Saccharomyces cerevisiae S288C: one gene and its partners. The gene in region 2 interacts genetically with the main gene of each other region. Each region holds a gene or a part of one and is shown on either strand. Other genes may lie near its edges. The genes, in order: ULP2, WHI5, YKL069W and RIM1.

The links.
Region 1: of WHI5 (region 2) and ULP2, changing one suppresses a phenotype caused by changing the other (phenotypic suppression), as found in Saccharomyces cerevisiae (2 studies listed by BioGRID).
Region 3: mutations in WHI5 (region 2) and YKL069W together harm fitness less than expected from each alone (positive genetic interaction), as found in Saccharomyces cerevisiae (2 studies listed by BioGRID).
Region 4: mutations in WHI5 (region 2) and RIM1 together harm fitness more than expected from each alone (negative genetic interaction), as found in Saccharomyces cerevisiae (2 studies listed by BioGRID).

Annotation. Positions count from the first base shown.
Region 1 is NC_001141.2:290,704-300,749, reverse strand, and holds ULP2 (SUMO protease ULP2), read right to left. Parts: upstream 8,118-10,046; coding exon 5,013-8,117; downstream 1-5,012. Other genes in the region: E3 ubiquitin-protein ligase SSM4, read left to right, coding at 741-4,700; cAMP-dependent protein kinase regulatory subunit BCY1, read left to right, coding at 9,081-10,046. UniProt on the Saccharomyces cerevisiae protein: Insertion mutation in SMT4 confers temperature and benomyl sensitivity; high copy suppressor of a temperature sensitive mutation in MIF2.
Region 2 is NC_001147.6:476,618-481,665, reverse strand, and holds WHI5 (transcriptional repressor WHI5), read right to left. Parts: upstream 2,134-5,048; coding exon 1,246-2,133; downstream 1-1,245. Other genes in the region: LPX1 (triglyceride lipase), read right to left, coding at 1-1,079; TGL5 (triacylglycerol lipase), read left to right, coding at 2,478-4,727; DNA-binding SCF ubiquitin ligase subunit DIA2, read right to left, coding at 4,874-5,048. UniProt on the Saccharomyces cerevisiae protein: Transcriptional repressor that negatively regulates G1-specific, SBF- and MBF-dependent transcription. Binds via SBF to promoters of G1-specific genes to repress transcription in early G1.
Region 3 is NC_001143.9:303,401-310,764, reverse strand, and holds YKL069W (L-methionine (R)-S-oxide reductase), read right to left. Parts: upstream 3,481-7,364; coding exon 2,938-3,480; downstream 1-2,937. Other genes in the region: FG-nucleoporin NUP100, read right to left, coding at 1-566; YKL068W-A (uncharacterized protein), read right to left, coding at 1,323-1,559; YKL070W (uncharacterized protein), read right to left, coding at 4,045-4,554; OSI1 (Osi1p), read right to left, coding at 4,881-5,651. UniProt on the Saccharomyces cerevisiae protein: Catalyzes the reversible oxidation-reduction of the R-enantiomer of free methionine sulfoxide to methionine. Does not act on S-enantiomer of free methionine sulfoxide or R-enantiomer of dabsylated methionine sulfoxide.
Region 4 is NC_001135.5:170,592-178,025, forward strand, and holds RIM1 (Rim1p), read right to left. Parts: upstream 2,850-7,434; coding exon 2,608-2,849; intron 2,525-2,607; coding exon 2,359-2,524; downstream 1-2,358. Other genes in the region: FEN2 (Fen2p), read right to left, coding at 295-1,833; SYP1 (Syp1p), read right to left, coding at 3,235-5,847; 40S ribosomal protein uS11 RPS14A, read right to left, coding at 6,909-7,315. UniProt on the Saccharomyces cerevisiae protein: This protein binds preferentially and cooperatively to single-stranded DNA (ssDNS). Involved in mitochondrial DNA replication. Stimulates PIF1 helicase activity.

The DNA of each region.
Region 1 (10,046 bases), on a different chromosome or scaffold from region 2:
GTTTATTAAAACAGACTAAAGCTGTTGGAATGAAATTCTAATGTTATCTATTTAGTAGTAATAGCATCACATGCGGTGTAAGAGGATGGCGTAAATTATGAGAAGCTGTCATCGAGGTTAGAGGAAGCTGAAATACAAAAATTGATAATGTAATAGGAGAATGAAACATATAAAACGGAATGAGGAATAATCGTAATATTAGTATATAGAAATATAGATTCCATTATGAGGATTCCTAGATCCTCGAGGAGAACTTCTAGTATATTCCGTATACATAATATTATAAGCCTTTATCAACAATGGAACCCCCAACAATTATCTCAAAATTCACCCATATCTTAATTAGTAACATGAATAGTACTAAACAGATGATATTTTAAAGTTTCATTCCAACAAGCATCTTAAATGTGCTATTACTTCCTAAAATAAGTAGTTTTTCCAACGAAATAGCCTTGTTGGCGCAATCGGTAGCGCGTATGACTCTTAATCATAAGGTTAGGGGTTCGAGCCCCCTACAGGGCTATCTTTTTACCATTTTCAATTCAATAGAAAAATTAAATCATTAGAGACGGAAAACTGGTTGAAAACGCATCGATTGAGGACATTGAAAAGATGATTATGACCGATCTATGAAGCCATAAGATTACGTTAAGAATAGTTCTTTGTTACTGATTTCAAAAACTGTTTTTTTAGCCAAGAGTACCACTAATTGAATCAAAGAGACTAGAAGTGTGAAAGTCATGGATGTTGATTCTGACGTTAATGTCTCCAGGTTAAGAGATGAACTGCATAAGGTGGCAAACGAGGAAACAGATACCGCCACTTTCAATGATGATGCGCCATCCGGCGCCACCTGCCGTATTTGTCGTGGAGAAGCTACTGAGGACAATCCTCTTTTCCATCCTTGTAAATGCAGGGGCTCAATTAAATACATGCATGAATCCTGTCTGTTGGAATGGGTAGCTTCAAAAAATATAGACATTTCAAAACCAGGCGCGGATGTTAAATGTGACATCTGTCACTATCCCATTCAATTCAAAACGATATATGCGGAAAACATGCCCGAAAAGATACCTTTTTCTTTACTACTATCCAAGAGCATCTTGACATTTTTCGAAAAAGCTCGTTTGGCTTTAACGATTGGTTTGGCCGCTGTACTATATATTATCGGTGTTCCTTTGGTATGGAACATGTTTGGAAAATTATACACCATGATGCTAGATGGATCATCCCCTTATCCTGGTGATTTCCTAAAGAGTTTGATTTATGGTTATGATCAGTCAGCAACTCCAGAATTAACCACGAGAGCAATTTTTTACCAACTTTTACAAAACCATTCGTTTACGTCTTTACAATTTATTATGATAGTGATACTACATATAGCATTGTACTTTCAATACGATATGATAGTAAGAGAGGATGTTTTCAGTAAAATGGTTTTCCACAAGATAGGTCCAAGATTATCTCCCAAGGACTTGAAATCACGTTTGAAGGAAAGATTCCCCATGATGGATGATAGAATGGTTGAATATTTAGCGAGGGAAATGAGAGCTCATGACGAAAATCGTCAAGAGCAAGGTCATGATAGACTGAACATGCCAGCCGCAGCAGCAGATAATAATAATAATGTTATTAATCCCAGAAACGATAACGTTCCACCTCAGGATCCTAATGACCATCGGAATTTTGAAAACCTTCGCCACGTAGACGAATTAGATCATGATGAGGCTACGGAAGAGCACGAGAACAACGACTCTGACAATAGTTTACCATCAGGTGATGATTCGTCACGAATTTTACCGGGGTCTTCAAGTGACAACGAAGAAGATGAAGAAGCAGAGGGGCAACAGCAACAGCAGCAACCAGAAGAAGAGGCAGATTACCGTGATCATATAGAGCCCAATCCGATTGACATGTGGGCAAATCGTCGTGCGCAAAATGAATTTGATGACCTAATCGCTGCTCAACAGAACGCAATAAACAGGCCCAACGCTCCGGTTTTCATCCCACCACCTGCCCAAAACAGAGCTGGAAATGTCGATCAAGACGAACAAGACTTTGGCGCAGCTGTTGGTGTGCCACCAGCACAGGCTAACCCAGACGATCAAGGACAAGGCCCTCTAGTGATAAATCTCAAATTGAAATTGTTGAATGTCATTGCTTATTTCATAATTGCCGTAGTTTTCACCGCAATATACCTGGCAATTTCCTATTTGTTTCCAACTTTTATTGGGTTCGGTTTGTTGAAAATTTATTTTGGTATATTTAAGGTTATTTTGCGTGGGTTGTGCCATCTTTACTACTTGTCTGGCGCTCATATAGCTTACAATGGGCTGACGAAACTGGTCCCTAAAGTAGATGTCGCGATGAGTTGGATTTCAGACCACTTAATTCATGACATCATTTATCTTTACAACGGCTACACTGAAAACACCATGAAGCACTCAATTTTCATCAGAGCTTTACCTGCTTTAACGACGTATCTAACCTCAGTCAGTATCGTTTGTGCTTCATCCAATCTTGTCTCGAGGGGTTATGGCCGTGAGAACGGAATGAGCAACCCTACTAGAAGGCTGATTTTCCAGATTTTATTTGCACTCAAATGCACTTTCAAGGTGTTCACTTTATTTTTCATCGAATTGGCTGGATTCCCCATTCTAGCTGGTGTAATGCTAGATTTCTCATTATTTTGCCCAATCCTGGCATCCAATAGTCGGATGCTTTGGGTTCCTTCAATATGCGCAATATGGCCTCCATTTTCCCTTTTCGTATACTGGACGATTGGTACTCTCTACATGTATTGGTTTGCCAAATATATCGGAATGATTAGGAAAAATATCATTAGACCAGGTGTTCTATTCTTTATCAGATCTCCAGAAGATCCTAATATTAAGATCTTGCATGATAGTTTAATTCATCCGATGAGTATTCAATTATCAAGGCTTTGCTTATCCATGTTTATTTATGCGATTTTTATTGTCTTAGGTTTTGGCTTCCATACTAGAATTTTTTTCCCATTCATGCTCAAATCGAACTTATTATCCGTTCCTGAAGCTTATAAACCAACATCAATTATTTCATGGAAGTTCAATACAATTTTGCTAACTTTATATTTTACGAAGAGGATCCTGGAGTCTAGCTCTTACGTTAAACCCTTATTGGAAAGGTATTGGAAAACAATTTTTAAGTTATGTTCAAGAAAATTACGTTTATCATCCTTTATCTTAGGTAAAGATACCCCAACAGAGAGAGGCCATATTGTTTACCGCAATTTGTTTTACAAGTACATTGCTGCCAAGAATGCAGAATGGTCAAACCAAGAACTTTTCACTAAACCAAAGACTCTAGAACAAGCAGAAGAATTGTTTGGGCAAGTTCGTGACGTTCATGCTTATTTTGTCCCCGATGGCGTTTTAATGCGTGTTCCTTCTTCTGATATAGTATCCAGAAATTATGTACAAACAATGTTTGTCCCCGTTACAAAGGATGATAAGCTGTTGAAACCATTAGATTTGGAAAGAATTAAAGAGAGAAACAAACGTGCTGCTGGTGAATTTGGTTATTTAGACGAACAAAACACGGAATATGATCAATATTATATCGTTTACGTCCCTCCAGATTTCCGTTTACGCTATATGACATTGCTTGGCCTGGTTTGGTTATTTGCTTCCATTTTAATGCTTGGTGTTACATTTATTAGTCAAGCTTTAATAAACTTTGTTTGTAGTTTCGGCTTTCTTCCAGTCGTAAAGCTATTGTTAGGTGAAAGAAATAAGGTCTATGTTGCATGGAAGGAACTCTCTGACATTAGCTACTCCTATTTGAACATTTATTATGTCTGTGTCGGATCTGTTTGTTTATCCAAGATTGCTAAGGATATTCTTCATTTTACAGAAGGCCAAAACACTCTCGATGAACATGCCGTTGACGAAAACGAAGTAGAGGAAGTGGAACACGATATACCAGAGAGAGATATCAACAATGCCCCTGTTAATAATATCAATAATGTGGAAGAGGGTCAAGGAATTTTCATGGCCATCTTTAACAGTATATTTGATAGTATGTTGGTGAAGTATAACCTGATGGTGTTTATAGCTATCATGATTGCGGTTATTAGAACTATGGTTTCGTGGGTCGTCTTAACCGATGGTATACTAGCCTGTTACAATTATCTCACCATCAGAGTGTTTGGCAATTCTTCATACACTATTGGTAATTCCAAATGGTTTAAATATGACGAGAGTTTGTTATTCGTCGTTTGGATCATTTCGTCAATGGTCAATTTCGGAACCGGATATAAGTCATTGAAACTATTTTTCAGAAACAGAAATACTAGTAAATTGAACTTCTTGAAAACAATGGCTTTGGAACTGTTTAAACAAGGTTTCCTGCACATGGTAATTTACGTCTTGCCGATTATTATTTTATCCTTAGTATTTTTACGTGATGTTTCTACAAAGCAGATTATCGATATTAGCCATGGATCCAGGAGTTTCACTTTATCGCTTAACGAATCATTCCCAACATGGACAAGGATGCAAGATATTTATTTCGGACTACTGATAGCATTAGAGTCATTTACGTTCTTTTTCCAAGCAACTGTGCTGTTCATTCAATGGTTCAAAAGTACTGTACAGAATGTAAAAGACGAGGTTTACACTAAGGGTAGAGCTTTAGAAAATTTACCAGATGAAAGTTAAAGGCGTTTTCTTCCTTACATTTAAAATGAATGCTAGCATATTTACATATATATATCTACATTAAGTTATATGTTTTTCCACTGTTTTATTTCTTATTGTTAGAATTATAGAAAAAAAATTTTTGTAAAACATTTCATTAGAAAAATTTACCATTCTGAATACGAAAGAACAAAATAAAAAATATGCCTATTTATGTGAGTATGTATATTACTAGTTATTTTATTGCTGTTACTATTATTATGCGAGAATGTTAAAAAAATAAAAATAAAGAGGAAAAGAATAAAAAATATAAAACTATGCGTGCGAGTGCTTTCAAGGGTCTTCATCTTCCAAGAGTATAGGATTATCTCTGCCCTCATCCCAAACAGAATCTTGAGACTGGTTATTTTCATCTCCATAATTAGAGAGAAGTTGTGCATTTGATCCCTTGCTTGTCGCGCTGGTTCTTGGAATACCCCTAGTTGGACTACTAAATGCCACATCATCAATATCAACCAACTTTTCGTTCAGTTCTTTGTCAACATTTTGAAGTATTTTACCAAGACTGTCATTATTACCATTACTTTCCTGAGTGTTGTCATGATTTTTTTCCGCTACATTAGGTAGTGAACTACCAATTAAATTGACGTCCGAGTCATCCCTGTTAACAATACCACTAGTATTTTTACTTTCAGAATTCACTCCTAACCTCGAATCTTGTTCTGTATCTGAAATTACAATGTTGGTATTATTGGGACTAGATTGGCGTTCCATAGAATCAGTCGATAGAGATTGAACATGCGAGGAAAGTTGTGGGATTTTTTTGCTTGGGTAAATCCTTTTAGGTTTAGGCGACGGCATCATAATATCATGGGTGGATGACAGGGCTTGATCGTTTTTTATTGGTGACGAAACGCCTTCAAACTGCTTAGCCCTCGTCTTTAAAGACGGCCTTCCAAAGTATGGTGACGTAAATTCTTCTTGTTCAGTTTCATTCGCACTTTCTGATATGAAAGGAGATGAACTCTTTAAAATATTGTGACGTATGGGAGGAGAAACGGATGCTGTTTCTGGAGAAGCAGCGCGAACGGGATCTTCATTATCAGTTATTATTTCACCGGTGGGCTGTCGTACTACGGAATTATGCAACTCTGTCGGCTCTCTTTCTGTTGTTGAAATACTGGATGATCGTGAGCAGGGAGGTTCCGAGGTTAACTGCGCGTTATTATCTTTACTGCTTTGATCTATATTTTCAATGATTTGAATTTCTTCATCGTCATCGTCGTAATTTTCATTATTGTTGATATTGGTGCTTTTTTTCTCCTCCATTTGCATAACTTCTTCATATAAATTTTCTTTTTTCAGATAGCTGATGTAATTGAGTTGTAAGAGTTTTAGAGTATGCCTTAAATTCTTTCTCGCACTATTTCTTTCATTTTTATCAAAATATTTATTAATCATTTTTGCGGTGAAGTGCTTACTTTTAATCTTAGAATTCTTCCATACATCAATTGTTTCCACCGGATTTTCAAAAAATTTTCTAATATTCAAAATAACATGAACACCACAATCGCTCATATTAGGTTGTTGTGGAACTGGACACGTTTTCATTTTGATTTGTGTTTTATCCAGTTGAATTGAATATTTATCAAGTGCATAGGATATGAGAAATTCTTTTATTGGATCAATTTCTCTTGAATGAGTTTGCCTCAACGAGTCGAAAGTCAAAATATTAACCAGAGGATTATTTATAGAAATCTCATCGGAGTTGATGGCATCGTTTTTATCTTTGTTTTGATGAAAATCCAAGATCGCATCCAAGTTTGTTATAATGCAACTAAACCAATGATAACTTATGTTAATTGGTATAACAACGTACTTTTTAGAAAACAAATCAGTATTGTTAACCCACTTTTTTACATTAGAATAATAATCTGCTGGATTACTAATTAGTTTCGTGTAAAAAAAAGAGGACATTAAGTGAACTTGCTCTCTTTTGATAATTGACTTTTCAATAGATGATTCAATGTAAAATTTTGTAAAAAAATCCAAAATGCTATCATTAACCCAATCCTTATTGAAAAGACACTTGAAATCTTGATTTGTTATAGTATAGCTTGAACCATCGTTGAATTTGTAACAGAGGCTAGGTTTAAACAGTTCTGGTGTTTCAAATTCCGTAGTTGCATCATCAAATTCTGAATTTGAATTTGAGTTTGCTGGATCCGAAACATCTTTAAATCTATTTGAACGTCTTAGTTGTGAAACTGCGTGGGATTGTAAAGTTTCTGTCCCGTTAGTGTTGTAGAAATCTGAGGGTGAAATATTCGATTTTGGAACAGATATTGAATGCTCTTTTTTCCCAAGGCTGGCAATACGAGTCCTTTTTGTTAAGGATTGCAAACCATGAGGTTTGTTTGATAAGAAATGAGTATGAATTTGCGGACTTTCATCATCATTAGTAGAAAGTTTAGTTTTTTTAAGTCTTAAAGAGTCGAATGCATTTTTAGTGGAGTTTATTGCCCTTTCCATGTTCAATGAAGGTGATGACGAAGAAATAGGATGAATCAGATGTTTTAGTCTTTCCAAAATCTGCTCTTTATGATCTAAAATTTCGACTTTTATCGACGAAGAATATGACATCAACAGGAATCTTTTAATAGACTTTATTTTTTTATTTGAAGCGGAGCTTGCAGTGGACCATATCAAGATGTTCGTGTTAATGTTGATTGAAGAGTTATTCACGTCTAGTATCATCTTGACCTTTTTCAGATCTTTTAAAATTATAGCCATAAAAGAGTTCTTCTTATCTAAAATTATCAATTCAACATCATCAAGCAGATTAACTTGTGAATTGTAGATCACCGATTGTTGAAAATACAATGAAAATTTCGGATGATTATGATCTGAGACAAAAGTCATTATGCATGGTGCTTTATGCCGATAAATTCGCAATGTTTTCGAATCAACGCAAGAAAATTGGCCGTTCAAATTTAGTTTAGTGGAAATAATTGAGCCATTTGGAGAAGTGCTCGCTACTGCCGGTTCCGGTGAACCATTCCCCAGATTATTAGACATTTGGAACAAAAGACCATTGGAAGTGCTTTTGAGTGATGAGTGTCTTTTCAAAGGAGAGCTTTGCAAAGGTTCAAAATCTTGATCTGAACAGCCACTGTTGACGCCTTCACCTTCATCATTATTATCAACATCATTATCCGACAATTCGATCTGCCTCTTACTCTCGCTGTTCATACTCAAAACTGGTAAGAAATCCTTTGTAGAAGCATTGTTTAGATGATCAACGATTTTCGGATCCTTACGAAAAGTGTTATATCTTTTGGGCGGTAGAGAAGCAGAGGACCTTGGAGAGCTGGCACGAGAGCTGTTCAAGGTGTCTAGCGGTTTGAGACTATTAAACTTGCGTTTTCTGGCAGACATATATGTGGGGTTTGATGTGCAATAAACATAGATATACGTGTATTATTGCACCTGGGTATGGGGTATACTGTGTAGTGTCCTTTTATCCCGCTCTTTATTTCTCTCTCTAAGAAGAAACGAATACACTGTAATGTAATTGGTTGTGATGTTTTATCTCTCTCTGATGACGTGATATCTTTTATGTTGTTTCACGATGTTCTCTTATTGTATTGTATAATAGTTTCTCTTAGTAGGAAGATAGAAAAAGGACAAAGAAGGCAAAGAACCAAATGTCATTTCTAACGACACGGCACGTGATTACTGATCTGATAATAAATGAAACAAGCCATACGTGAGAAAGTAAAAAAAAAAAGGAGGAGGGAAAAGAATACGAGTGGAAAATATAAAGGACTTTATATACTTTTCAGATTAGCCGCCGACGATTTTACTTACTCAGCTTTTTTCTATCTTTCAAAACGCTCAAAAGAGGAGCATACGACTTCGGCGGCTAATCTTCACCCAAGAAAAAAAAAGCGCATGCCACCACGACGAGCGGAAAAAAACAAAGCACCCAATCACCACCCTTCCTTCTTTCTTCGTGTTATACCCGCCACTTTTGTTCTGCCTGATAATATATTGATTATACTGTGCTCGGATTCCGACCTCTTCTTTGTTGCAGAAGCCATAAGCTGAACTTATTGCATTTGCTCAAGTGCATTTATTATGGCGCCGCGCCGCCGCTCTCCAAAATTCTTGTCCTTCCTCGTTTTGCTGGCAAGGAGCAAAACGAAGAGGAAGGTAGAAAAGAGAAAATTTGAACAAACAGGGAAAAGGGAAAGAGAAAAAGGGACACTTTACGCTTTCCTCGACTAAGTCAAGCGATCGCTATCATCACATCCATTACACGCATTTCACGCATACATAAATAGGAAGATCATTTACAACAAGCAGATTATTTTCAAAAGACAACAGTAAGAATAAACGATGGTATCTTCTTTGCCCAAGGAATCGCAAGCCGAATTGCAACTGTTCCAGAACGAAATCAACGCCGCTAATCCGTCCGACTTTCTTCAGTTCTCCGCCAACTATTTCAATAAAAGGCTGGAACAACAGAGAGCGTTCCTCAAGGCCAGGGAGCCTGAATTTAAGGCAAAGAACATTGTTCTATTTCCGGAACCAGAGGAGTCATTTTCCAGACCTCAATCAGCTCAATCTCAATCAAGATCCAGATCGAGTGTTATGTTCAAATCCCCCTTTGTGAACGAGGACCCACACTCCAACGTGTTTAAAAGTGGGTTTAATTTAGACCCGCACGAACAGGACACTCACCAGCAAGCACAGGAAGAACAACAGCATACTAGAGAAAAGACATCAACTCCTCCACTCCCAATGCACTTCAACGCCCAAAGGCGTACTTCTGTTAGTGGTGAGACCTTACAACCAAACAATTTTGACGATTGGACTCCAGATCACTATAAGGAAAAGTCCGAGCAGCAATTGCAAAGACTGGAAAAATCGATCCGTAATAACTTTCTGTTCAACAAGCTGGATTCCGACTCAAAAAGGCTGGTCATAAATTGTCTGGAGGAGAAGTCCGTCCCCAAAGGTGCTACGATAATCAAGCAAGGTGACCAAGGGGACTACTTCTATGTCGTCGAAAAGGGTACTGTTGACTTCTACGTCAACGACAACAAGGTCAACTCTTCCGGGCCAGGCTCCAGTTTCGGGGAACTTGCTCTTATGTACAACAGCCCTCGTGCTGCCACCGTTGTAGCAACCTCCGACTGTTTGTTGTGGGCTCTAGACAGGCTCACCTTCAGAAAAATACTTTTGGGCAGCTCTTTCAAGAAGAGACTCATGTATGACGATCTTTTGAAGAGCATGCCAGTTTTGAAGAGTTTGACTACGTACGACCGTGCCAAACTTGCCGATGCACTGGATACCAAGATC
Region 2 (5,048 bases):
AGGGTCAATTGCGGAATGTGTGAGGACTGCAGCGGGGAGGTAAGGACAAACTCGTGGATGTGGTGATTAATCCTCTCGATCACCAGGTCCGGAGCCTCAACGTTGACCAAGTGGGAGCCGCCGGGAATGACATCGAGATGGTAGTTCTGTAGAGTTTTCTGCAAAAACAGCTGATTTTGCGGAGGACACCAGTTGGAGCGCGCGCCCACAATGTGGATAGTCCGCTTCCTCACAAACTTCACATTGCTGATCAGGAAAGGCGCAAAAGTCTGCATGTTCATGTAGCAGAGGAGATTTTGAGCCTGCTCCATCTTCGTGCGAACGGGTCCACCATCTTCATCGTCTCCAGAGGCTTTTGTCCTCTCAAAATCGATGATGTTTTGCAGGATTTGGCTGTGCGCATTGGTAAAAAAGGAACCGTTCCTCATATATTTTACATATTCGGACTCGTTAGCGAAATGGTCGCACGTCTTTAAACGTAGGGAGTTATAAAGATTTTCTGGGATCTGCGGAGAATCGGGCGGAAGCCCTGGCCTCCCGGCGCCGATGGCTTTCCGTGTGATTACTACAGGCTCGATCAAGATGAGCAAATGAAACAGATTGGGCTGCAGGACGTCACACGCAAGAGCCTGGAACCCGCCCATCGAGTGGCCGATGACTACGTTTAGTGCCGGGTGGCTGTCAATACTGCCCAACTCGCATGTGGCAATCTTGAGCACGTCGCGGGCCCCGTCGATCCAGTTGAAATTGGTGCCGAGTCTGCCGCGGTTGCGTACCGCAGAATCACCGTGGTTAACCTGGTCGATCAACAAAACCTTGTCGATGGCATAATTGCCCTCCGCATCGGCGGCTACCAGACGCGGCAAATAGTACTCCCATACCACCTTACTCATGCCGCTGCCGTGCAAAAACACAAGGTTAAGCCTAGTGGCAGTGCGAGAGCGGCGTTGCCGCTCTGCGCTAGTGTACACATCGTATGTGAGCTCGAGGCGATCTGTCGCACACAGCGTCGACTGCGGTGCGCGCGGCCAGCTAGCGCTACAAGTTTTCGTTTCTTTCTTGAACCTGTTCTGTTCCATTTTAGCCGCGGATGTTGATCGGCGGATACGCAGAGATAAGCAGAGTACGCACTAGTGAGCTTTTTTAGCACGCACATTACGCACTTTATATATATGCTAAAGGGTGCAGCAGCGGGCGCGGCTGCACTAACTCCGAGATTGCGGAGAAAAAACTCGTACTACCACATTAAGACGTCTCCACTTCGGTATCCGACTCGGGCTCCGTTTCGTCCGTGGGTTCTCCAGCAGATGTCGCCGGCACGGGTCGGTGTTGTTGCTTCTTGGTAGGCGACGACAATAGCATCAGTGTTTCGACAGCCGTGGCCTCCTCCCGTGGTGGGTGGCCTCCGAGCGCCTGAAGAAACGCTGTATGCGCGGAAGTACCCGCGTCTGCACTATCTGGAAATCTGTTGTGATAGCGACGTGGCGGCGTCTGCACTGCTGGAGCAAGCTCCGTCTCCAGCTCGGGAAGTGTCTTGTCCGTCCATCCATTTTGCAGCTTGACTAACGCGTAATTGAGCCTGGTGCGCAAAGTATGTGATATTTCGCGGATGGGCCGCTCGCCCGTAGACCGACGCGCAGCCGTCGGAGGTGACCTCAAACGCGGCGACGGCGACAGAAACACCTCCGACCGTCTTGACTTGGGCGTTGTCGGTGGCAACAAAGGCATACTAACGTGTCCGTCGTACTTCTTTTGATTTTCATTTTCTTCTTCATTTTCGTCGTCCTCACTCTCACTTTCGTGTCCGTCGTCGTTATGGTCATATACACGTCCATGTGCGGTTATGCCGACACGACGCTTATTGACGGGCGACATGAATATACCCTGAAGACTCGTTGTCGACGGCCTTCTTCTCGATTTAGTGATGCTTTTCGTTATGCCTGGTGGTGACGGCGGCGATGGTGTTCCAAAGCCATTTTTGAGACGTACTGGCGTGCTCAATAGAGTGGTTGGCCCAGGTCGCTGCTGATGCTCGTTGTTTACATGTGTATCTGGGTTCTGTACCTGCTCTTGTTCTTGTTCTTGTTCTTGTTCATCGCTAGTCCTGCTTCTCTTCGGCGTTCTCAAACTCATATTCTTCAATGTCTCTACTATTTTTCGTTGCTATTAATATCTGGTTGTGCTTTCTTCCATCAGGTTCTTTGCCTTGTTTTGCCTTTGTTTTGTTTTGTTTTGTTTTGTTTTTTTTATTTTTTTCGTTCTGCTCTTGAAGTTTTCGCTTCCCTTTTCCCCCTTCCCTTTAGCACCAGAAGTCATGAAACAATTAGTAAATCAAGAATTATCATTAAGGCAGCGCGAGGAATTATATAAAACAAAAAAAAATAAAAAAATAAAAAAAAAAAAAAATAAAATTCGAAAACAATAGGAGACAAAAGACATCATAAACAGCACAAGGAAGACGGTTCTGTTTCGTTGCTATGTCTAATACCTTGCCAGTAACAGAATTTCTTTTATCCAAATACTACGAACTTTCCAACACTCCTGCCACAGACTCATCATCGCTCTTCAAATGGTTATACCACAAGACTCTCTCCCGTAAACAGCTGCTCATATCCGATTTGTCTTCCCAGAAAAAACACGCCATCTCCTACGATCAATGGAATGACATAGCGTCGCGATTAGACGACTTAACGGGACTTTCCGAATGGAAAACAATCGACGAGTCCTCGTTGTATAACTATAAGCTGCTGCAAGACTTGACCATCCGTATGCGCCATTTGAGAACCACTCACGACTACCACCGCCTGCTTTATCTGATTAGAACTAAGTGGGTCCGTAATCTTGGCAACATGAATAACGTTAATCTTTACAGGCACTCGCATACCGGCACAAAACAAATTATACATGACTACCTAGAAGAGTCTCAAGCAGTGCTCACCGCGCTGATCCATCAGTCAAATATGAACGATCACTATCTCCTCGGTATTTTGCAACAGACGAGAAGAAACATAGGGCGCACGGCTCTCGTGCTTAGCGGTGGGAGCACTTTCGGCCTTTTCCACATTGGTGTTCTTGCCGCCCTTTTTGAATCGGACCTGATGCCTAAGGTGATCAGCGGTAGCAGTGCTGGCGCCATTGTTGCCAGCATATTTTGCGTCCACACGACCCAGGAAATTCCCTCCTTGTTGACCAATGTACTTAATATGGAGTTTAACATCTTCAATGACGACAATTCCAAATCTCCCAACGAAAACTTACTAATCAAGATATCGAGGTTCTGCCAAAACGGTACCTGGTTCAATAATCAACCTTTGATTAACACAATGCTTTCGTTTTTAGGAAACTTGACCTTTAGGGAAGCCTACAACAAGACTGGAAAAATCCTGAATATCACAGTCTCGCCTGCTTCCATATACGAACAGCCGAAACTACTAAACAATTTAACCGCTCCAAACGTTCTCATCTGGTCTGCCGTATGCGCATCTTGTTCTCTACCTGGAGTTTTCCCCTCCACGCCGCTATTCGAGAAAGATCCTCACACTGGAAAGATTAAAGAGTGGGGGGCAACAAATTTACATTTATCAAACATGAAATTCATGGACGGATCTGTAGATAATGACATGCCCATTTCTCGTCTTTCTGAAATGTTCAATGTCGACCACATTATCGCCTGCCAGGTAAATATACATGTCTTTCCCCTGTTAAAGTTTTCAAACACTTGCGTTGGGGGTGAAATTGAAAAGGAAATTACCGCCCGTTTCAGAAACCAAGTAACAAAGATCTTCAAATTTTTTTCCGACGAAACTATTCATTTTTTAGACATCCTAAAGGAGCTTGAGTTCCATCCCTATTTGATGACCAAATTGAAACACCTTTTTTTACAACAATACTCTGGCAATGTCACAATTTTACCCGATCTATCAATGGTTGGTCAATTCCACGAAGTATTGAAGAACCCATCTCAACTTTTCCTATTGCACCAAACTACTTTAGGTGCAAGAGCTACTTGGCCGAAAATTTCCATGATTCAAAATAACTGTGGCCAAGAATTCGCCTTGGATAAGGCCATCACATTCCTAAAGGAGAAAATAATAATCTCTTCGTCAATAAAAAACCCTTTACAATTCTACCAACCTCGATTCAGTGAGCAAATCAAATCTCTTTCCATAATGGATGCTGACTTGCCGGGAGTTGACTTGGAAGAATCCTCCTCCAATTCACTATCAATTATCAAGTCTCCCAACAAAACAGCGGCACCGGGAAGATTTCCTCTTCAGCCATTGCCTTCTCCATCTTCTACCTTCAACAAGAGGAAAATGGATATGTTATCGCCTTCTCCATCGCCTTCTACATCTCCACAACGTTCAAAATCTTCATTCACGCAGCAGGGTACAAGGCAGAAGGCAAATTCTTTATCGTTTGCCATCGGTGCATCTAGTTTACGGCTAAAGAAATCACCATTGAAGGTTCCATCACGACCTCAATTCAAAAAAAGATCTTCTTATTATAATCAAAATATGTCGGCAGAGATGAGGAAAAATAGAAAAAAATCTGGAACAATTTCCTCTTATGATGTTCAAACAAACTCAGAAGATTTTCCCATACCGGCTATTGAAAACGGTTCATTTGATAACACTTTATTCAATCCAAGCAGGTTCCCCATGGACGCTATGTCGGCTGCCACAAACGACAATTTCATGAACAATTCAGACATTTTTCAAAATTGAAATGAAAGACAATAAGTACATTTTTATATAAAAAGCTTTCTATATTCTCACCTCCATCAACTCCAAAAGGTACATGCCATTTTGTTATATTAAATATTCTAAGAATTTTCCGAAGGATACTGCATTATCATCAGTGATTTATTAATCTATGAGTATGAATATGAATTAATTCCAAATTTTCTCCATACATCTCTTTCATAAACACAATCCACTTGAGTAACTAAGTTCTGCGCTCGGATCATATTAACTGTGATATGAGACACTTGGGAACATCCGTCAATATTTAAATATGCCAGTGGTTGACCTCCCGCTTCGTTGTCA
Region 3 (7,364 bases), on a different chromosome or scaffold from region 2:
AATATGTTAGAGCCGTTGCCATTTAAGCCTGTTCCGAAACTACTTCCGGTGTTTCCGAATGTGCCAGTGGTACTTGTACTTTGGCCGCCAAATAAACTAGAAGTACCTGCACTATTATTATTCTGCGAACCAAACAAGGTCCCTCCTGTATTCGGTTTATTGAAACCAAACGGGGAATTGGTACTGTTACTGTTATTATTAAATGCATTATTGGTATTACCACCAAAAGAACCCATTGAACTGGATCCTCCAAAAGTGTTCCCATTACTGGCATTTGAGGAGTTTAACGACCCAAATGGTGAGTTTTGGGTGGCACCCATTGACTGGCCAAATGCCCCATTATTTTGAGTATTGTTATTTCCAAATAAACTGTTACTATTACTGCCAGCGGCAGAAGTGAATCCACCAAATCCTGATTGGGCATTGTTACTGGTGGAATTGTTGTTGTTATTGCTATTTCCAAAAAGAGAGTTTGGTTGTTGCGATTGTTGCCCACCGAAGGATGACGTATTTGATCCAAAGGAAAGGTTGCTCCCTCCAAACATTGGTCTATTGTTGCCAAACATTGTTAGTACCTGAAAAAATTCAATGTACTAATAGTCCGGAATCAAAGCTAAAATATTTTGGTTAACAAAGACTGTTCTACGATATGTTATTTTCTTCTCCTCTTCAGGTCCAAAAGCGGTGGTCATTTGTAGATGACTTCAGCATAAATATGCTTTTTTTTTTCATGCTTTTTTTCTTCGCTTACGGCAAATATTTAAGGTGTCACGGTGATTGCAAGATGGGTAACACTTTCCGTTCTAACTAAGCATCAGAACATAATACAATCTAATCTTTGTCTAATAATCGACCAAAGAAATTTCCTAATGCTAAATGTTTTACTTTGAGAACGTTCTTGGAGAAGTCTCATTCCGATGTGCGGTTAACCTCTACTCCTATCAGGATAATGCTGCCCTTACTTGCAATAAACAGGTAGAAAAATACTAAAATACTGCAAATGTTTTCCATTAAAAGTTATTCTACACAATAGCTATTAAATTTGTGGTAAAGAGGTGAAAAAAAAAAAAACCTCTATAGCTTAATAAACTAAAAATTCGTACTATGCATAAGTAATCAAAACATGCATCTACACAAAAAAAATTGAAAAATCTATAAAAACACCTTCCTAAAAAATGAATATCGCCAATATCTATAACAAAAAGTCTCACCGGTATACAAGGATTGTTCAGAACAGCTAGCCAAACTTTAACAACCTCCAGCATTGACAATTAAAAATGTGAAAATAAAACAGCTAAACGAAATTACCGCCAAAATTGGTCTCACAGTTTACCAAATTTTTCCGTCATAGCACTCATTTGAGTCCAATATTTTAACTTAACGGGAGTTAAAGATCCTGTGTTGAGGTCTACCATCAGGTCTTCATCTTCTATTTCTTCCTGAGTTTGACTTAAAGCTTTTTGAAAACTTCCTTGCTTTTGTGTTTGAGAAAAGAGCCCATTTGACCTCTTTGAAGTACTTGATTCGTAAAGGTAACTGACGGAATGGTTTGCCTGCATTGTAGTTGATGATATATAATGTCGTTGATTTATGAGTTACTAGATGGCTACCATTAAGTCTCACTTGAAAATTCGCGGGAGCTGAGAGATGCAAGCATGTAACATTAGGTTCTGTAGTTATATATGATTGTTTCTTCCATTGCCTACATCAGAATCGAACTGTTCTAGGGCCTCACAGTCGAAACAAAAGTTTAGCGTTGTTTCGAGAAATGGCCGCACGAATGGCGATAGATGTCGAAATGCCACACTTTTAATTTTCTCGTTGCGTTTTTTTTTCTTTTTTGCCCTTAGCAGAGGGCAAAAAAGTGACAGAGGAGCCACAACTGCGGCCCGCGTGAACAAAAAACCCCATGATCTTTCTCAATTTTTTATTCGCATGCGACTCCTACATACACGGGACCTGCAAGGTGGTGCGGTGCAGCCACACGGAAGACTATTGTATACATATGTGATTGAAAATGCTTCTTTCCTTGAAAAGAAATAAAGGGATGCTACCTCTTCCTGTGGCACACCTTTCCTTGGACTTTGTATTGAGTAAGGATCCAGACACCTTTAGTGGCGAGCTTGATAATCCAGGTAACACAATATCGCCAATGATTTTTATCAAGTAAGACTATCGCATCCAGAAGATTATTAGTTTAATGTTGTTCGATAAGGCCTATTTTTAGGCTCTTTTTTCAACATTTCCAATCGTCATGTGAAAACTGTACAAGCCACTTAATTTCTCAAAGACCTCGCCACAGAGAAAAGCTCATATCTGTGGCATCACTTACTGCTTCTATGCATTGATAAATCTAGCTAGAATTTTCACCGATATCATGCAAGTAAATGATAGAAAATCATCACAGTTACGCATCAAACACATTTTGAACGTTCCTTTCTTCTTTACGGCAAAGTAAGCATGCCTTTAGCGAGACTGGGGTGAGCTGAAGAAGAACTTGCTGCACTATAGATATGACTTTAGATGTCCGTTATTCAACAATTAAGTGGTTTCGTGGTCTAGTCGGTTATGGCATCTGCTTAACACGCAGAACGTCCCCAGTTCGATCCTGGGCGAAATCAATTTTTTTTTCCGTCAGATATCTCCGTCATTTTCGTTGACGTTTTTTTCTTACCAAGCAAAGATATTTTTAATAAATGCTGAATATCCTTTGTTTGAGGGTAAACATGCCATAAATTTGCAATAAGGGTTACAAATAAAGATTGAGAGCTGTCAATTTGGCGAACAGGGAATGTTTTCTTCACCAATGATCTCCTGAAGCCCCTCAATCTTTCTTGATGTTTATCTCTATTCGTGCCCGTCCGACAATATATTTGACAAGAGAGCTACATGGGAATATTGGTTATGTGCGTAAATACTTGTTCGTTCTCAAAACTCTTATTTAAAGACACATGATTTATTAATTAATTTAGCAAGTTTTTCTAGGAATTCTTTGTCTACGTGGTCGAATCCTTCGTAATCCAAACAATCTATGTCTATGACGCCCAATGTCTTACCATCATTGGATATGATTGGAACAACAATTTCGCTCTTGGTTTCACCGTCGCACGCAATATGACCGGGATACTTGTTGACATCTGGAACAATCTGCGTTTCCTTTGTAGAGGCTGCAGTTCCGCAAACACCTTTACCGAATTGAATCATTTGGCAAGCGACCTTTCCTTGAAATGGGCCCAATATCAGTGTGTTTTCTTCGCTAGCTTGAGTAACGTAAAATCCAGCCCAATTGATATCAACAGCTAATGACTTGTACGCATGCCAGATCAATGACGAAGCGTTTGACAAATTACAAACCCAATTGACTTGTCCATCTGATAGCCCCTCGTATGAAAGCAGAAGCTGTTCTAGAATTTCTTCCTTATTCAGATTTGAAGAATAGTTAACATGATCGGCATGATGAAACCCGGTTGATGAGCCCATATCTGTTTGTTTTTTTTTGTTTTTTTTTCTAATTTACGGATTTGTTTTATCAGCAAACGCCTTTGTTTGCTTACATTTGGGAAAATCGTCATCATATAAACATGAAGAAACCGATGATATTAGCGTTCGTTAAAAAGGATAATACTTCGTTGTAAACTCAACTGTAAATATCTTTCTTCATTTCCTCCAAACATGGTTTTCTAACTGCAGGGAATAGGTAAACCTTTGCGTTTGTGTTCTTTCTGCATCACGGTGGGCCTTGCCCTCTGTTAAGTCAATATTAAAAGATAAGATAAGAAAAGAATGAAAACGAATAAATAATTATTGATATTTAATGCGCAGAGAAAATACAAAACTTATAAGCTACCTGGATAGTTATCTTTTACAAGGCGAGCCATTTCTTGGCCTCTTTCTCCACCAAATTCTTTGAATTTTCAACATATGCCTTCAACATTAATCTGTGATTTATTTTGGTCGAATTTGAACTTTGATTGAATATGGGTAATACTGATTTCAAGCCCGACAATGTTTTGAAGCATAGCATTGATATAATAATCTGGGGCATCAGAAACGCTCCACTTTACTTCGTACATTTTCCCCCTCAGGTCTTTTCTCTTCTTCTTGGTCAGTCAAAGTTGATAACATATTAATAAGCCAGTCTTTATCGTCGCGGATAATCCTTGGTGTACCGTAAACGTGCACAGCGGCAAAATCCCATGTTGGTACGAACTTATGGGTCTTTTTCTTCATTGGGAACCACGCCGGAGAAATGTATGAATCGACGCTCTGAAATACCACTAAGCATTTTTGAACTCTTTCCAGCATTTCCACATGTTTATTCTTCCGTGCTAAATGTGCAATAAGTTTATGCTCTCCATTATCGAACTCCACGAATACAAATGGAATATGTGATGCGCACATACCAAAATCGGGGTCATCTTTATTGGAAGAAGTTCTCCATCCGAAGAAACCTTGCCTGCTAGCCTTAGAGGAGAATAGTGTTCCTAGCGGGGGTTTTTTTGATAATTTGTACCTTGAGAGTTCCATGGACTCAAAATGTTTAGGAATGTACATTATGAAATAGATTCTTGGATTCTTCTCAGACTGGCAATTTATGTCTATAATATTAAGGGATGGTTTTCGGCGAATATGCAGAATCTTCGGTTCTAGGACCAGTTATATACCATCCTAATTAAAATCAGAGGACATAATAGAGATAGTTTCAAATCTGGTTAAGCGTTAAAAGATCAGCATACAAAGTGATGCCACAAAATACCTTCTTAAAGGGGCGTGAGGCAAAAGCAAAGTCACATCATATAGCACCTACCAATAAAAAAGTGTATTACACAAAGGTATATTCCGTATCTGAGTTGTATATAAGTAGCCAAATTTGCACTTATCTAAAAGACGCCTTCGCTGCCGTCATAGTTGAAGAACTTTCCATTATCTTCTGGTAAAATTTTTCGGAAGACATCAATTAGCGCAGAGGCACTTTCTTCTGGTGTGATAATATTTACGCCGCTGATGTCTATATTCTTCTCTTTAAAATGATCAAGGCCATATTGGCCCATATCAGTAGATACCATACCTGGGTGAAAAGCAACGACAGTAAAACCCTCCGGTTTCAATTCAAAACTGAGCGTCTTTACCGCATAATTCAAGGCAGCTTTCGATTGACCATAAGCGGAAACAGAAAGTGGTACAAACGCATTGATAGATCCTGCAACACTAGAGATAAAGAATATCTTCCTCGTCTTTTTCAAAAGAAGCAGTGGATAAACTTTTTGAAGGGCTAGTATCGGACCCAGAGCGTTTGTGCTATAATGGTTGAGCCAGACTGATTTGGGAGTTTCCAGGACCTTGTAATAAGAATCAGATACTGCAGAACATGCGATAAAAATATCAATACCCAAGAAGAATGGCGTTTTCTTGATCTCGTCCGCAATATTGCCAATACTTTCGTCCTTTGTAAGGTCAAGTTGGACAATATGGATATTCTTCCTGATTTTTGCTAAATCTTCCACTTGTTTGTTCTTGGGTAATGAAGGTGATCCACGAATAGAGGTTATAACTGTATTGCCCGTAGAAGCGCTTAAAATTTTGACCAAATTAAAACCAATTCCACGGCTACCACCGATGATAAAGTAAGTTATTCTTGATGAAGTATTCATATCGACTTTGTTTGCTTAGAATTCTACTGATTTATGCCACTGGTAAAGGCTTTATTCTTAAAAACGTCAAAAATTAGTTTTGAAGCATCGCCGCCTATTTATTATAACTGGTATACTATCTTACTTATTAGTACTACCATTTATACCGCTATGCATTACTAATCACATTACTAATCTCATTACTAATCTCATTACTAATCTCATTGCTAATCTCATTACTAATCTCATTACAAATAACTTTCTATTGAGGTATTTCTAGGGAATTGCGAAGTTGGTTTGCTTTTTATGAGACCCGCGGACGTTAATCGAAGATATAATCCACGGAAAAATTATATGTCCTGCAATTTGTGCACAGTATATTAATCGGGAACATATATGATTAGATTATTGCAAGTCATGCAAGCTAAAGTAAAACAAGCAATATCAGGAGCTCATAGATATATCATGCACACATCAGGTAGAAGATAGGAAATTATAGAAGATCTGAAGAAATTAGAAGAACTAAGCTCGACTAGCCTAATAGGAAAATGGTGTCCCTTATTTAACCTGAGAAACCAATATTTCGTAGTATCTTCTTTTTTTCTTCCATGGTAATGAGTCCAACAAACTTTGAGCTTCTAAAAAATATAAACTCCAAATGAACCTGATCAGGACAAATGTTCTCTAGGGTAGTTAGATACAAAACCTTTCGGATGAGGGATTTCTTATCCTAGCTATTTAATGAAGCAAAATAAAGCTGTTTCAAAAAGCTTAAGTGTTTGTACTTTTTTTTACCAGGTTAAAGAAACAGGAATAATTATTCGTAGAATTGCAAAATTTTTTATTGACGTACTTGTTTCTATTTTTTGAATAGTCAGTTCTTCGGAAGGCATTCAATAAGAGCCCAATATAAGGGTAAGGTGCACTTTTATACAAGCTGGCCAAAAAAACCGGGAAATGGCAAAAGTTCGAACTATTGTTTCATAGGTACTATTAAATCCTTTCATTTGGTAAAGAAAGGTGCTTGAATGACTTTGCAGACTATTTCTGTTTCCTACCGAATAAATTAGGTGCGCTTTAACGCGCAGTGATGTGTAGATCAATTGAAATGGGGAACTTGCTTATTGAATACAGGATTAAAGAGGAAATGGTACGGTACATTTTTGGATTTTGCCATAACTCACGATAAACTGTGGATGGCTGCATCAAAAGATGGAGAGTTGCTAGATGACCGTCACGTCTGCGTAGTCTCTTCACAACATGTTTTATTGACTTGGTTGATGCTATTGTAGTGATTAAAGAGAACGAGAGATAACGCAAATCAAAATTTTATGTTGTGACATTTGGAAATTGAAGGAATACTTATCTTCGAAAAGCCGGAGCAATGCTTTTACCTCGCTAGAAATAGCATGTCATGTAACATGGTAATGTTAGCTTTATAAATAACCGCGCTATTTAGTAGGCTACTACAATTAACTCCCAGACTTCAAATTAGTCAGAAATGTAATACAATGTTGTGTAACGTTAGTCATATGTTATAATTTGTATTCTCGCAGTAGAGGTAATTCACGATCTTAGGATTTGCGCATGTTTATGATCATAATGTCAAAATAAACTACGTAATGCGTAATTTTAAATAGTTCTTTTGCCCAAAGTAAATGCGCATTATTATAGCATTCGTTGATGTTTCCAGTATTATTGCGATAATACTGGGGCCTGTCCATGAAGTTTTAA
Region 4 (7,434 bases), on a different chromosome or scaffold from region 2:
AGTAGAAAATAGCAGAGTGCGTGAACGCATAGCAGAGAACAAAATACTTACTAAACCTTTTCGAATAAGTTAGCAAGAAGCTTTTAAAAACATAGACTTAGAAATTGTCCTGCACTTGGCAAGGAAGAAAAGAAAGATTAGTTAAACAGAAATCGAAAAATGCATGATGAAAAACTAAGTAGACCTCTTTAGAAGTGTCTTAGCGGCTATTGTTCATGATACTTTTGAAAAGAGCCCTGAGATTTTCCATTACCATCAACAGGACCAATGAATAGCTAAAAGAATCGAATGTATCTATCGGAAAGGATTTGAAATTTCGGCCATTTCCTCATTATGAAGTTCAACTTCCATACTCTCGTCGTCGCCATCATTTTCATTATCCTGGTTGTCGTCATCGTCATCTTCTCCGGGCATGTCATTAGCATCTATATAAGGAACCTGTTTCTTAGACAAATTCTCTTTTATCTGTAGTGAGCGTATGACGACCGAGACAATTCCGCTTGATATTGCCGTAGCCAAGAGGGCGTAGCAACCTCTCTCAAACTTGGGCACCATATCTGAAGCAAAGAATAATATAGACCACCATGCGTTAACGGCCCCTGAAAACATATTCATGGAAGCAAGAACGATAGCACGTTCTTGAAGATCTGCATGACAAATAATGTTTGCCCACGAAAAAAAAACCGCTTGTCCAGCGTATGCTACGCCTCCAAGATACTGTGCAGAAAAGACGACTTTTGGATTTAGTGGGTCTGCACGTATTAGTACCGCAACAATAACCATTACCAATGATATGAAAACAGAAACATGCCAATGCCTAGCTCTTGGGATCTTACTCATATATACAGCAGAACAAAGCGTAGAAACTATACCTACGGCAAATATCCCCGAAGGATAATTATTTCTTTGCGCCAACGTATATTTTTGGTTTTGTAACCATAATGCAAATGTAGAATTAGATGCGAAACCCAAGTTCTCACCTCCCAGAACCCAAACAAGAGAGAACATCCACCAGTGCCACCTTTTTAAGACTCTAGGAATAGTCGACCAGTCTAACCGGGTGCTTTCGTCCCTAGCGGGGAGCCTTCTCCTAGCATAATGTAGCTCTTGTTCATTAAAAATGTATCTCGTCATAGAAAATTTGCTAACAGCACTTGTTTGATCAGGAAGGCCGGGGAAGAAAATAAACCCATAAATTGCAATGGGTAATGTGATACAAAAATCAATAATGAATAACCATCTCCAACCCGCCAAGCCATTCCGCCCATTCAAATGAGTAAAGATACTTGTTTGCATAAATCCACTGAACATAGATCCCACCAAACCGCTACCTGTAAAAATAGCACTTCTAATGGGCAATTCGTCTTCTTTATACCACGAACCCAAAACAAAATGTGTTCCTGAAAATGTGCAACTCTCAAATAAGGCTTGAAAGAATCTAATTGCGCAAATATGTTTGAACGATGTAACTTTGTACATTCCCAAGGTCAATAAACCCCAAGCAAACGTACAAAAACTTAGCCATATCCTGGGCGGAACACACAATAACATTAAATTATTGGGGACCATACCTACAATGTAACCAATCATGAAAACTGTGTTAGACACGGTCAAATCGTTTCCGACCATCTTAAGATCTTCCTTCATACCGGATATATATGCATTGGTGAAACCGACACGGTCGACATAATTAATCCAGTATTGCAAGCAAACAAATGATAGCACAAACAAGTCTATTTTAAACAGAAGTAATCTCTTTTTAATGGCACGCTTGGAAGAAACAGATTCTCTCTCAACCTCATGTTGAGTGATAGATTTCGATTCCTTCATCATGACTTAGGCCCAGGCTCTCTCCAATCAAAAATTCTGAAAACAGCTTCTCAATCTTGAATAAATCGGAATACTTTTATATCAGAATTACAGGTCCGCCTCATTTCTCTTAAGAGCCGATGTCTTCCTTTACAATATACGCATGTAGAAGATTTGATCGATGCTGAGTTCTTGTAATTCGTCAAAAATGCCTTTCAAGATCGACTACTCAAAATCTACAATAATCGGACTGCATGGATCAATGGAGGTGTAGGCAATTTTGTAACAATGAAGGATATGTTAAATTCGCTAAAGCTTCCTCCTCTTTTGCTAAATTTCATCATCAAAAAGCATTTTGCATAACACACGTTAACCAATATATTATAGTATATATACATTCTATTTGAGAATAAGCATAGTTTTACATAACTAGTTCGTTATTCCAAATGTATTTTTCCTATTTGCCATAAATATTTTAAGTAAAAGAAAGCATGCTCTAGATAAAAAATATCGAGGAAGAGTCGAAATAAGCAAGCGTAAATATTACAATTATTCTGAAGAAGCAGCATTTTCTTGGCCCTCAGCATCTTCTAATTTCTTCCCATTCTTCAATAAATTAATGTCCTTTTGAACTAAGCTCAAAGTAGTACCCTTAGAACCGTCGTCTCTCTCGAAGACATAGTTAGCAGCATCTGCTTCAACATATACCAAAGCGCTGAATAAATTATGGAAAGGAAATGTTAGTAAATTATAACGCGTAATTGTAAAGTAAGTAAAATTGAAGAATAAATAACATACCCTTTTCTAACATATTCTGTCAAAAAATTGATTTGAGGTTCATTGAAAACGGTGATATTATACCAATTGGTTTGGCCATCTCTTCTTGGTTGCGAAGCGATACTATATTTCAAATAACGATTGTTATTAGCAGAAGTATGTTCAGTGAATTCAGAGCCAATGCGGCCGACGATGGACATTTTCGAGAAGTCCATCTTCTTGGTAGTAGCATGGAAGAAACGAGCTTGAGTACGTAAAAACATTACAATGGATTAGTGGATTTTTGTTTGTTTTGTATTTGTCAAGGACACACAATTAGCAAATGACTTGTTATCAAATTCGTGGTATTTGTCTTTCTCAACTACTGTGTTAGCTTTTTTTTTTTCGTCTGGGCGCAAACGCCTTTTAAGCACTCCTCCACAAATAATAAGTATTAGATGAAAAGTCCTAAAAGTCCGAAAAATGGAATAGAAAAGAACGAAAATACAGAATCTTTACAGAACATTATAGTACATAAGTGTAGTTCTACGTAAGTCTTAAACAAAGGTTTCAAAAGGAAAATATGATTTAGCGGCGCCACCTCCATAAATTATGGATTAGCAAACAAAAGAACAATTAATATTGAAAAATAGAAGCATAGCAGAAATATCAAGCGAGACCATGGTAGTTACCAGTGGTCAAAGTTCTTTTTGTGTTTACATCGAGCCACTCACCACCAAATGGATTGTTTTCATCCAGCTCCTGACAAGTCAAGGTGATTCCACTGCCGGCTCCGCTATGGGGTAGAGCCACGTTATCCGTCTCACTGATAGTGAATTTGGTAATCACGCCTTTAGCGGATTCATGTGCCAGGCCGTCTGTAATAAATCTGGCGATTAATCTTTGACCTTCACCATTTCTTGTCAAAACAACTGGTTCTTTAAATCTCCACGTTATTCTCTTCTTTTCTTTACTGAAGGAGCCCTGAGGTTTTGATAAAGCGCTTGTTGCATTAGCACCATCGATATTCACAAAGACAACGAGGTCTTCTATTACGATTTGTGATATTTCATCGGGTAAGCTTGGTGACATCTTGACAGTCAATACAACACTTGCCTGGTGAGATTCAAATCTCCAGACCGGATGAATAACAATAGGCGCGATCGGCTCCTTTATGGAATATTTAATAGCTCCTAAGGTTCTAGAATCGATAAATGAAGGGTTAACTTTGAATTCTTCTGGAGCAACACGCTCAATAAAGGCTTGGTTCAGAATGACCTTTTCGAACTTAGCGCCATTATTGATTCTCAAATTAATACCGATAGGTAAAGGCGAATTCATGACAGAATTGGGTAAATAGTTGAGGGCAATTTCCCCAATCAGTTGGGAGTTCTGCAACATACCGTCTTTGAAAGAAGCATTGAGCACTTCTGCGATACTAGCATTCAACCCAAATTGAGATGTATCTAAAGAGGAGTGCTGAAACAACGATTGACCAACTAAAGATGTTGAAGAGCCCGTGGCTTGAGGATTTAGTTCTCTTAGCTCGCCAGTAATCTGAGAGGAGAGTGTGGAAACTGGACGTTCCTGGGGAATAGAGGACAAGGAAGAAGAAGTAGGGGTAGCGCCTGAGCCGTGATTAGGCAAAGAGTCATAGAGTTGAGAATCCCTGTTATGAATGAAATTTTGTTTCCTTGAGGGTGGTAAAGCAGGTGCGCGGATATGCAAGGGCCTTGAATCAACTTGACCTGAAGGTTGGTTATCAACCGTAGCAGTAGGAAGTGAAATACTGGGAGAGGCAGGCTCAACTGGTAATGGTTTTGTTTTTGATTGTGGCTGAAGTGGAGGTTGAGAAATTGATATCGGTACTGTCTTGGGTAAGTTACTTGAGTCTGGTTCTTTCGCAGTGGGTGGAGAACTTTGTTGTGGCGTTGAAGGAGGCACTTCAGAAGGAGTAAAAGTTTGCGCAGGTGGTGTATCGGCAGTAACAGGTGCATCTACGTTTTTAGGAGTAGCATGGGGAGGAAGAGGAGGAGTGTCACTAGCTTCACCCGGGGTCCAATTGTTTGATTTTGATGATGAATAGGTGGGTCGACGTTGCTTCTGATAAATAGAAGAAGTTGCAGTTGAAGACACTCTGGTGGAAGAATTATTCGGAGTCTCAGTGATGGATGCCTGAATATGAGAGTTTGATGATGATTGTTGTTGTCTCTTGTTCTTGGTCTTATTTCTACCGAAAATTGAGCCCACTTTAGATCTTAGGGTGTGGGACGACTTTTTTGATTTCAAGGAAGAATTATTAGTAGAGTCTGAAAATTCGTTATTCATGAGATCATTATGAGTGAGACTGGAAGATGCAGAGGCAAGACGATGTCCAATGTTTCCAAATGCACTCTTACGCTTATCCTTTTGTGGGGATTTCTTTTCTCTTTCCGTATTAGCGGCACCATTGGATACAGAGACCGGGCGGGCACCAGTGGCAGAAGCTGGCGAAGCATTATTAGGAACTACTTCTTTGGAAGAAGAGGATAGTTGGAAGTTGTATTGACTGGCATCTTTGGCAAAACGATCAATTTCACTTTGCGGTTCGAATGCCAGGAATTTCGTCATCACCGTTTCGCATTCTTTGGTAGTATTTAGTAAATAATCGCTAAAACTGGTTTGAAATCTAAGCATACAGTTTTTTAAAGTGTCCAAACGGTTATAGTCAATAGTCTCGAACAGCTCAAACAAATAGGGGCTTTGCTGGTCCCATTGCCTTCTTGCCTCTTCTAAGTGACTAGAGTTTTCGTTATTCTTACTATAGTGCTCAATTGAAGCTGCATTTTTACTAAGCTTGGAATGTAAGTCCTTGCTTTCTCTCCAGCTAGTATTGTTCTCCACGGATTCCTTCAATTCACGAACGACTTGCTGGTCCAAAGTGTTGTAGTATTCTGTACTTGACTTCAAATCTGATTTTAGTTCTTCAATTACAGTATCCCATACATTTCTTAGCTCTCCCAGCGAGTTGAATCTGAATGCACTCATTTCCTGCGGAGTCAAAACATTACTTTCAATCATTTGAGCGTTTAAGATCTTTGTTATATCTTCATTTTCAGCTATTATTTTTCTCAATTGCTGAGCATAGTTCCTCTTCAGATTTGCCAATTCCTTAAATAACAGGTAAAAGTCTTTATTCAACAATTTGACCTGCGATAACCTGATTCTAATAGTTTCGGTAGCCTCGTAAGGACTCTTAGTAGTCAATATGCTATCTGCATATTTGGTTCTTTGTTCCGTCATGAGAGGTGATTATTCGCAATTTTCAAATAAGCTTGCTTCAATACGACTACAGCAAAAGTAATTCCTTTATTAAGGCAATAACTACGAGACCTTTTCTTTGTATTTCGTGAAAACTTGAATGCAATATAGAGTTTTTCAATCTGCAAGTACTTAAGGGGCCCTTTTAGCTACACATAATATAGAAATGAAAGATCACGGGCTACGAAAAGCCATTCATAATCATATACAAATATCACCTGTAATATATAAGAATATATGAGCTATTGATTTTCTTCTACCGCCTGATTTAGTTGTTTTCACTCTTCAAAACTAAATTCAGTATTAGCGACAGTGGAGGTGCTAGTACTCTGTAAATGAAAGTAAACGCTGGTATTCATGTAGAGCACCAACCTGACTGTGAATGCGTAAGCTGAAACATGATAGCCGCCTGTAAAATATTGTTATCAATAAGTAGACCGGCTTACACGAATAGGATTCGCTTTATTCTTTACTCCCCACTCAACCCTAAGCAATGTTCAAAATAGTGTGAGATTATTTTATGCGCGCCTCCTTCAAAAAAAAATTTACATATATAACATAGGTGGAAAAACTTCCCTCCGATGTCTAATAAGTTAATCAATAGAATGAAATGGACACGAAAAGGCGTAGACATGGAAGATGACAATGACGAGAACGTCATTTTTTTTTCCACGTATTTTAAAAAGGGGTAGCCTGCTTCACCAGATGTTCTTGTCAACAAAATTCTAAAATGATGATTTTTTTAAACACAATTTATGCTAGATAGTATCTGAAAGCATTCAAACTTTATGATTACAGTGTTTTCGACAGTTTTAAATCTCTGAACCGATTTTGTAACTCTTGGTAATTGTGTCCTTACATTTCCGTAATGACGTTAATCAAATCGCAATCTTGAATCTTCTTAACTAAAAGGTTATAAGGGCTTTTTTTTATTACTAAATTGACGTATGAGCTGATTTGATTATGGGCGCTATATAATTATATGTACACATTTTTTAACTGTAAAAAATAATACGGCAATACAAGTACAATACATGCATAACTCATAATCTTCTACCTCTTCTACCACCCTTCTTTCTGGTGGAGTCAGATGGAACTGGGGTAACATCTTCGATACGGCCAATTCTCAAACCAGATCTGGCCAAAGCTCTCAAAGCAGCTTGACCACCTGGACCTGGAGTCTTGGTTCTAGTACCACCGGTAGCTCTGATCTTAACGTGAACGGCAGTGATACCGACTTCCTTACACTTAGCGGCAACATCTTGGGCAGCCAACATAGCAGCGTATGGAGAAGATTCATCTCTGTCAGCCTTAACCTTCATACCACCAGTAACTCTGGCGATGGTTTCCTTACCAGATAAATCGGTAACATGAACGAAAGTATCGTTGAAAGAAGCGTAAATTCTAGCAACACCAAAAACTTGGGAATTGTCACGAGCTTGAACAACGTCTAAATGGAAATAGTAAATCGATATCGGACGATATCAAACGTAATGTTGTTAGTATCCAAAAGTTTTTTTTTTTAATTCTTACATAGTATCTTTGCTTTTCCATCGAAAAAAAAGTTGA